2 linked regions of the Ovis aries genome follow. The protein of the gene in region 1 purifies or fractionates together with the protein of each later gene. This does not show direct contact. Links are inferred from orthologs where the notes say so. Each region holds a gene or a part of one and is shown on either strand. Other genes may lie near its edges. The genes, in order: ARHGAP17 and CAPZB.

The links.
Region 2: the proteins of ARHGAP17 (region 1) and CAPZB purify together in Homo sapiens (affinity purification with mass spectrometry; 3 studies listed by BioGRID and IntAct, with this or other methods). This does not show direct contact. The link is inferred for Ovis aries from reciprocal best matches to the Homo sapiens genes ARHGAP17 and CAPZB.

Annotation. Positions count from the first base shown.
Region 1 is NC_056077.1:23,131,413-23,135,220, forward strand, and holds part of ARHGAP17 (rho GTPase-activating protein 17), read right to left. Parts: intron 3,632-3,808; coding exon 3,540-3,631; intron 1,296-3,539; coding exon 1,136-1,295; intron 1-1,135. UniProt on the Homo sapiens protein: Rho GTPase-activating protein involved in the maintenance of tight junction by regulating the activity of CDC42, thereby playing a central role in apical polarity of epithelial cells.
Region 2 is NC_056055.1:247,028,106-247,032,166, reverse strand, and holds the end of CAPZB (F-actin-capping protein subunit beta), read right to left. Parts: intron 3,453-4,061; coding exon 3,350-3,452; 3' UTR 3,340-3,349; intron 868-3,339; coding exon of another isoform or gene 780-867; 3' UTR 755-779; downstream 1-754. UniProt on the Homo sapiens protein: F-actin-capping proteins bind in a Ca(2+)-independent manner to the fast growing ends of actin filaments (barbed end) thereby blocking the exchange of subunits at these ends.

The sequences.
Region 1 (3,808 bases):
GATTCACTTTTTACTGAAGCCACTGGTGTGTGAATTTTAACCCTTTTGGCCAGTTCAAAAGATTAAAAAGGTACATGGCTGCCTGAGCTTGTGGTTACTGGGTCAGCCGGTGGGGAGAATCCATCCAGGAAGATGGCTGGGAACTGTTTATCATGTACTAACTAGACCCTAACACTGCATTCGGTAACTTCAGATACACAAAGGCTAATTCTGTGACGGACAGTTTGTCATCAGGAAGCTCTTCTGCGTGTGTGAATGTGGGTTCAGAGGAGTGAAGCTTCTGCACATAATAAATGTGGCCTCCAGAGTGACAGAACAGGAAAGTAAAGCCTTTTCCTTTGCCATGGGTTTTAAAAACGAACAAACAACAAAAAGGCAAAACAAAAAAACAGACCTCACTTTAAGAGCGGGCAGTTAGAATAAGAGCTTGTTGTTTAGTTTTAATGTAAAACTATTTCTAGTAAGATTATTGCATGTACATGAGAAAAGCATGCGACTCCTAACTCAGCATTACTAGCAGACACAGTAGCATTTCAGCATACATGTTGGACAGATTGGCATCTGAAGGCAGAAATCACAAATAGTCTTAATAACTTTGAAAACCCCACAGATCACCCAAGGAGAAGTCCGACACAGTTTTTTTTTTTCTTCCAGAACTGGCAAAAACTGAGGCTGCTATGGTTGGCATCCAACGAGGAACCAAGTTATACTAAAAACGTGTGTCTTTAGACACCAACTCACACAGATCACCAGGAGAGGTGGGTTGTTCTCACATTCACTCCTGGACAGACATCCTCAATATTTAACTCTTTTTTTTTTCTTTTTCTCCAGTCAAGTACATTTAGGTGAATTCGTAACATGTGTGCGATGCTACTGTGTAGGGCTCATCACAGACCACCAAGCAAAGCTTGGATGCATCAGATATGAATGTTAACTGGCGGCTACACACCTACTCTGGAGGCAGATTAATGTTTGCAATGAACTAGAGCCGAGCTCCTGAAACTGTCTAGACTCTAACAGGCCTGGGTGCACACTGAGTCGCTGGTCCACTGAGGCAGGACCAGGGACCACGGGTCCACCACCTCTCCCCTGTGCCAGCTCCCACTACCGTGAAGATCCACAGCTCTGAACGCACCTCTCCTTCTTCACCAGGTCCCCCTCCATCACCGCCATGCTGGCAGGCCGCTTCCTCTCCAGGGTCCCCGAGTCGACCGGGTCATTTCCAGTGTGGGATGAGTGATTGGAATTCGGGGTGGTGAGAGGTACAAACGCTTCTGACACATTAAATTCCACCTCTGCCGGGAGAAAAAGAAACGTGTACATGAGACACAGCACACAGAGGTCAAGGGAGCTGGAGGGACACCCCACTGGGATAGGAGACTCCTTCTTTCATCCACGAGCCCTCACTATTTCACAAGTGAAAGCCCCAGGCATCTCATCTTCTTAAGGAGAGTTTACCAAACCAAGGCGGGGGGTAAGTTAAGAAAACTAGAGCTAGGGGAGGGGTATGATTCAGAATCCAAGTTACACAATTCCCCTGCTTTTTCTTTTCTTAAAAAAAAAAAAAAAAAATCATGGAATATGGAAGAGGATACTGAGCATGGATGACTACTTATTGGAAGTAGAAAAAACTAAGATATGTACAGCTTGATATTAAGTAGATAAAAAGAGTGGCATCAACTTCATACTGTCTACAGCAGGTTCTGAAGACTCGTTTTCTCAAAAGAAATCTTGGCTCTCAAAAGCATGATCAGGGAGCCTGGGGTGCTGCAGTCCGTGGGGTTGCAAAGAGTCAGACATGACTGAGCGAACGAACTTATTGAAAAGCACGATGCTAAATGAAAGAAGCCAGATACAAAAGACTACACTCCATACTCTTATTTATATAAAAATTTTAAAAGGCAGAGTGTAGACATGGAAAGCAGATGAGTGATGGCCACAGGCTGAATGAAGGGAATGACTGAAAAGGATCACGAAAGAATTCTCGGGAATGATGGAAATAGTCTATATAATCGTTGTGGTAGGTACACACTGGATATATTTGTTAAAAATCATTACATTGTACAGTCTTGCATAAGTTGTTAATTTATGCAAATTATACCTCAATAAACACTGACCCCCTCCAAAAAAGAGAAAAAAGGAAACCCTGGGCAGAATGCCAATTATCACCTATCTATCACATATTCACTATGCATGCTTACGTGAGCGGGGTGTGATTCTGGATGGCGGGAACTCAGGGGAAGAGACAGATGAGAAGAAAGATGCCCATGAAGAACAAAGACAGAGGAGAAGAGATGTGCTTGACCAGGCTTCAGGGAGCTTACACTCCGGAGGGTGCCAGCTGGGCCGCTCCGGTCAAAGCTGGGGCGGGAGGGCCGGACTCCCAGCCAGTACCCGAAAGGGGGCCCCGCACCCCTGAGGATCCCTGCATGTCAGCGCCACCTCATCTACCGGGCCATTCCTGGCCCTTCGTGCTCGACACCTGAGTCTGTCAAATCCTCCCTCCACCTTCCTTCAAATGTGTTGTGTGTCAGAGTTTCTCTGATGATCAGGTCTCCTTCTCCAGGGAAGACAGCACGTCTTACGAGCAAACACGTGCACCTAGCGAGTACTCAACATACACTGGCTAAGTGGGTGACTCCGGGTGCCGTGAAACAAAGTGAAATACCCAACAGTGCGGTTACCATCGCGTGAAAACAGGAATGCCAAGGGACTAAAAAGAAGCGTGAAAAAGCAAAGGCAATGTGATGGGATTACTTATGCATTTGCTTCCTTAAAAAGATTGTTTATACATAGAATTCTCATATAGCTCAGCAATTCCCCTCCTGGATATGTACCCAAAATAACTGAAATCTGGGAATTAAACAGATACTCGTATACCAATGTTTAGAGCAGCCAATTACCAATAGTCAAAAAGGTGCAAACAGCCTAAATGCCCACCAATCGGCTAACAGATAAACAAAATGCTGTTTATACATAGAAGGAATATTATTCAGATTTTTTAAACGGAATGAAATTCTGACACATGCTACAACATGGATGAATGACCCTTGAAACTGTTATGCTAAATGAAATAGACCAGACACAAAGGGTTAAACACTCTATGATTCTACTTATAGGACATGCACAGAACAGGCAAATTCACAGAGACAGAAAGTTCAGCTGCTCAGCTATGTCTGACTCTTTGTGACCCCAAGGACGGTAGCACGCCAGGCTTCCCTGTCCATCACCAGCTCCCAGAGACAGAAAGTAGGATAGTATTAACAGTTACCAGGGACTGAGGGGCAGAGATAATGTCTACTTATCATTCAGTGGGCAGAGAGTTTCAGTTTGGAATGATGAAGAAGCTTTGGAAATAGATGATGATGGTTGCACAACACTGGGAATGCAGTTAATCCCTCTGAATTGTACACTTTAAACGGTAATTTCATGTTATGTGTATTCTACCACAATGAAAACTTCAAAGATAAACAACAAAGAAAGATTGTTTATACTACTGCTGTGTATCCGTGTGTCAGTGAAATCGGAGCAGCAGTCACCTTCAGGGAAGAACCAGTTGGCGTGCTGGATGATGGGTTCGATGACCGCAACCACGTGGACGGAAGTGGCAGCTGCCATCTCAGCAAGCGTTCTGCAAAAGAAGTTGACAAAGTTAAACCATCTCCCCAGGGCAGCCTCCAATTTCTGCAGGTTGAGTCAGGGCAATTCAATTATATTGAAAGGATAAGACATTTAAGTACAAAGGCAAAAATAAGATCCACCAGGCTCTGGCTGAGGAGTGTGGCAGTGATCACCCAGGAAGAAAAGT
Region 2 (4,061 bases), on another chromosome or scaffold:
CGGGGCTGCCAGAGAGTCGCGTGTCCTGGGAAAGTGGGGCAGGCGAGAAAGAACACAAGGCTGACTGCGTCCCAGTTTCTTTTTATTTATTTATTTTTTGTTTTTTTTTCTCTCTTTTTTTTTTTAAGTATGGAAGCTCAAGTATAAGATGTAGATTTTTTTTAAGCTTTACAAAAAAACAAAATAAAACAAAAACTCCTTTTGCATTCCATAAAAATTGACAGAAAAGCACCTGGCGAGAGGAGCAGGGCGGCCCGCAGGCCCCGCCCCCACCGCGGGCCGAGCTGAGGGCCACCTCTCCTTTCTCCCAGAGCTGTCCCCTGTCCCCCGCCGGCCCCCAGCCCCAAGCAACTCCCAAACACACGTGGAATCAGATTTCCAGTTTTTCTTCTATCTTTCACACACCACAGTTATTTCATAAAATTTTTTTGTTTTACATTTTTTACACCAATGTAACAAAAAGGTGGGAGGGGAGGGAGGCAGACAGACAGTGTATTTTTATGCCGATAAATGGGGGGGGGGGGGGCCGGGACGGACAGAAAACGCGGTCTCTATGGGAATACCGAGTTGTGATAGCAAAACGTGGTGGGGGAAGGAGGTCTCCGAGACCAGGGGTGTTTACCGGGTTTATTCTCGGGAGAGATGGCGCTGCGGTGGCGATGCGAGTTGTTGTGTGGCCTGTCGGGGAGGGAAGGGACGAGGCAGGGAGCAGGAAACGAGTGTCTAAGAAAGGAGCCTGACAGCGCACGGCGTCTCCGGTCAGTGGGGAGCAGAGGCTTTTAACACTGCTGCTTTCTCTTCAAAGCCTCCACCAGGTCGTTCTTAAGAGCTTCTTGTTTTGATTTGTCTGCAAAAGTCTGCACAGACCTGTGGGGTGGAGGGGGGTGGGGAAGAATCATCATGAGCAGGCAGAAGAGGAAAGGAAAAGAGGGAGAGAGCTGCCATGCGGTGCGTCCGGGGTTGGGGGGGCCGGGCGCCCCTCCACCCACGTCGCCTCTAGGAGCAGAGCTGCAAGCCGTGCGGGAAGGTCGGAGGGTGCGGAGGGGCCCAGAGCCGGAGGCTGGCCCCTCAGCACCTCACCCGGCCCTGCAGGGGAGGCCACAGCCCAGCCCTGCCCCAGGCTGGCTGTGACCTGGACTCTGGGCACACGTCACAACATGGGCCTGAACCACAAGTGGCTTCCGCGCCAACTCCTGGATTTGTGGGGAAACGCTCATGTGAGTGCGCAGACGCAGGGGTTAGACAAGGTGAGCAACAGCTAAGCTTTGTGGACACCGTGTCATCTGCTGTTTGTAAGTGATTCCCAAGCACACTTCACTCTCACAAGCATCGCAGAGGAGTCCGAGCATTAGTCCCAATTTACAGATGAGGAAACTGAGGCTCTGAGAAATGCTGCTGGCAATGACCTTAGGGACCCTGGTCAAGGCTCCCCAATGTACAGGCTAACTGGGGGCTTGTTAAACTATGTACAGCCTTTATAGCAGTCTCAAGGCAGTGGAGAGCAAGGGCGGCAGGCTGCCTGGCAGGACCATGGTGGAGCCACAGGAACCTCAAGCTTGACATGCGCTGGCTGTGAAGCCGCACAGGAAGCAGAGACCAGACAATAACCCCTCAGCCAGTGCCAAACGGGGCTTAAGTACAATGAGGTAGGACCAGGAGCATCCATATGGAATGCTGGCTACTGAGTCCTGGGAACACCATGGGAAGCGCCCTCAGAAGGTAAAGAGGGTGGCAGAGACAAGACTCTCAGAGAGTCTGTGTACAGCTAAAAAGCCTCCCATGAGAAATGCTGGCATTTCGGCTGATGCTGTGGGACACACGCTTCTGAGAGCTCGCTTTGCTCTGCGGCAGCTCCCACGGCCTCCTGGCTGGAGCTGTGCTGGCTCCTCCGGGAGAGGCACGCCAGGCCTGGGCTGCACCCAGCACCCCCACCCCCACCCCCGACAAGGAGAAATGTCCAGACGGAGGACCGGTAAGGGACAGGTTAGGCCAGAGCAGCTGGAGGTGGGAAGGGAGAGCGCTTGTTCAGGGAAAGGAGCTCAGGAAGGTCATGGCCAAGCCACCAGGAACCAGTGTCGGCAGGAGGCTGTGTGTGTGTGTCTCAGAGAGGAGTTGCCAGGCTGGGCAGCAGGGGAGGGGGCGCGGGGGTCCCATACCCCCACAGGGCCTGGCCAAGGGGAGGGGTCCAGAAGACCCTAGACCCGCCCCGGAGGCGGAGGGCCTGGGGAGAGCCGCGCTGTATGGTGCGCTTCTGAAGGCAGGGGGACAGCCCAGGCCCGGCGCCGGCGCACCCAGGCCCGGCGGCTGCAGCCACAGCAGAGGAGCCCCCTGGCTGCACAAGGGCCGCCGCCCGAGCAAGCCCCCCGAGCCTCTTCTGGGCTGGGGCCCCGTGTCCAGCTCCCGGGCCTGGGAGGAAGCCCCTACTCCCGGGCTCTGCAGCCCTGCTCAGCTCGGCTTCCCCCCTCCTCTCTGGGGGTGCTGCCGGCTTTTACACATCCGTACCCATCACATGCTCAAGTCGTGTTCTTGGGTGTCGTCCACAAGCAAGACTTTCCCCTCTGTCAAGCGTAAGGCATTTAGGAGGATGGGTGCAGCTCATCGGGGGCGGACGGCGGTGCTGGTCCCGGCGGCTCCAGGGGCACCTGGTCTGGGGGCACCAGGCCTGGCTCAGACATTACAGCCCCACTCCGGGCTTCCCTGGTGGCTCAGACATTAAAAATCTGCCTGCAGTGTGGGAGAGCTGGGCTCCATCCCTGGGTCAGGAAGATCCCCCGGAGGAGGGAATCTTCACCCACTCCAGTATTCTTGCCTGGAGAATTCCATGGACAGAGGAGCCTGACAGGCTACAATCCACGGGGTCGCAGAGTCGGAGACGACTGGGCAACCGGCAGAGGGCTCTTAAGAGACCCAGCTCTGCGTCTCTCTCTTAGACTCAGGGCAGTACACCTCAGATCAGCTGACCCAGGCAACTGTCCCCCGAAAAGGGATCTTTTTGAGCTTCTGGGGTCCTTGGTGGAAAGGTGGCAAAGCTCCGGCTGCACACAGAGCAGACAGAGAGGCCGCCCCAGCCTCCGGTGAAGCAGGCAGCCCCTGGGAGCGGCGTGGGTGACCGTGACCCTGGCCTGCAGGGCCTGCCCCACACGCAGCCCTGCCCGGAGTGCCAAGCACACACACTGCACACGTGATTCGGGCCCTGTTACGCAGGGCGAAGTCGGCAGTTACGGGGCGGCTCCTGGCCGAGCGGACACGGGTTAGTGGTGTTTAAGGGGCTGGCAGGGTCTCGGCGGGCTGGTGAGTCCTGTTTAGTGGGGCGGCGCTCAGGCCTCTCAGGCAGGGTACCTGGAGCGGCTTAGTTATCGGGCTGGATGTGGATCTGGCGCTGCGTCAGCACTTGGGAAAGCTCCCTCTGCAGCTGCAGGAACTTGGGGTTGTCGGGGATAACGTCAACAGATCTACAGAGAGCGCGCAGAGTGAGGGCCGTGGAGGAGCCCCAGCGCGGAGGAAGCGGGGGCCGTGGGCAGGAGAGGGGGTGTCCCTGGGGCGCAGCCGCTCAGGGCTGTGGGCGTCAGGGCCGCGGGGCTCGGGGGGGGTGGCTGTGGCTCTCGGGGGCCCGCCCAGCCCCGGCAGGCTCTCTGCGGCTCCCCTTGGTTCTCCAGCCGTTGCCCGGGATGGTGCAGGCTGACGGGCGTGTCTGGTGTGTCTGATGACGCAGGGGCCCCAGGCCGGGAAGCTCTGAGCAGAGAGGACTCCCCAGGCCCCGGGCTCAACAGCCGGAGGAAAGCAATGCTGCGTGGGGTGAGCAGGGGAGTAAAGCCAGGGGCTAGACCAGGCTCCCCACAGACAGGGAATCAGAAAGGCAAGTCCAGAGCGGGCACCACCCTTACAGCTGTCTGAGAGAGACTGAACTGCCTCCCCTAGGCGGACTCAAACTAGGGCCACCCCAGGCCACTTCCTGCCACTGCCCGGCCTAGAGGGGTCTGTCCACAGGGGGCCTGCAGGGCCGGGGGCCAAGGCCAGGCCAGGCCACGAGCCCCTGGACTCGCGGGGTAGCGACGAGACTC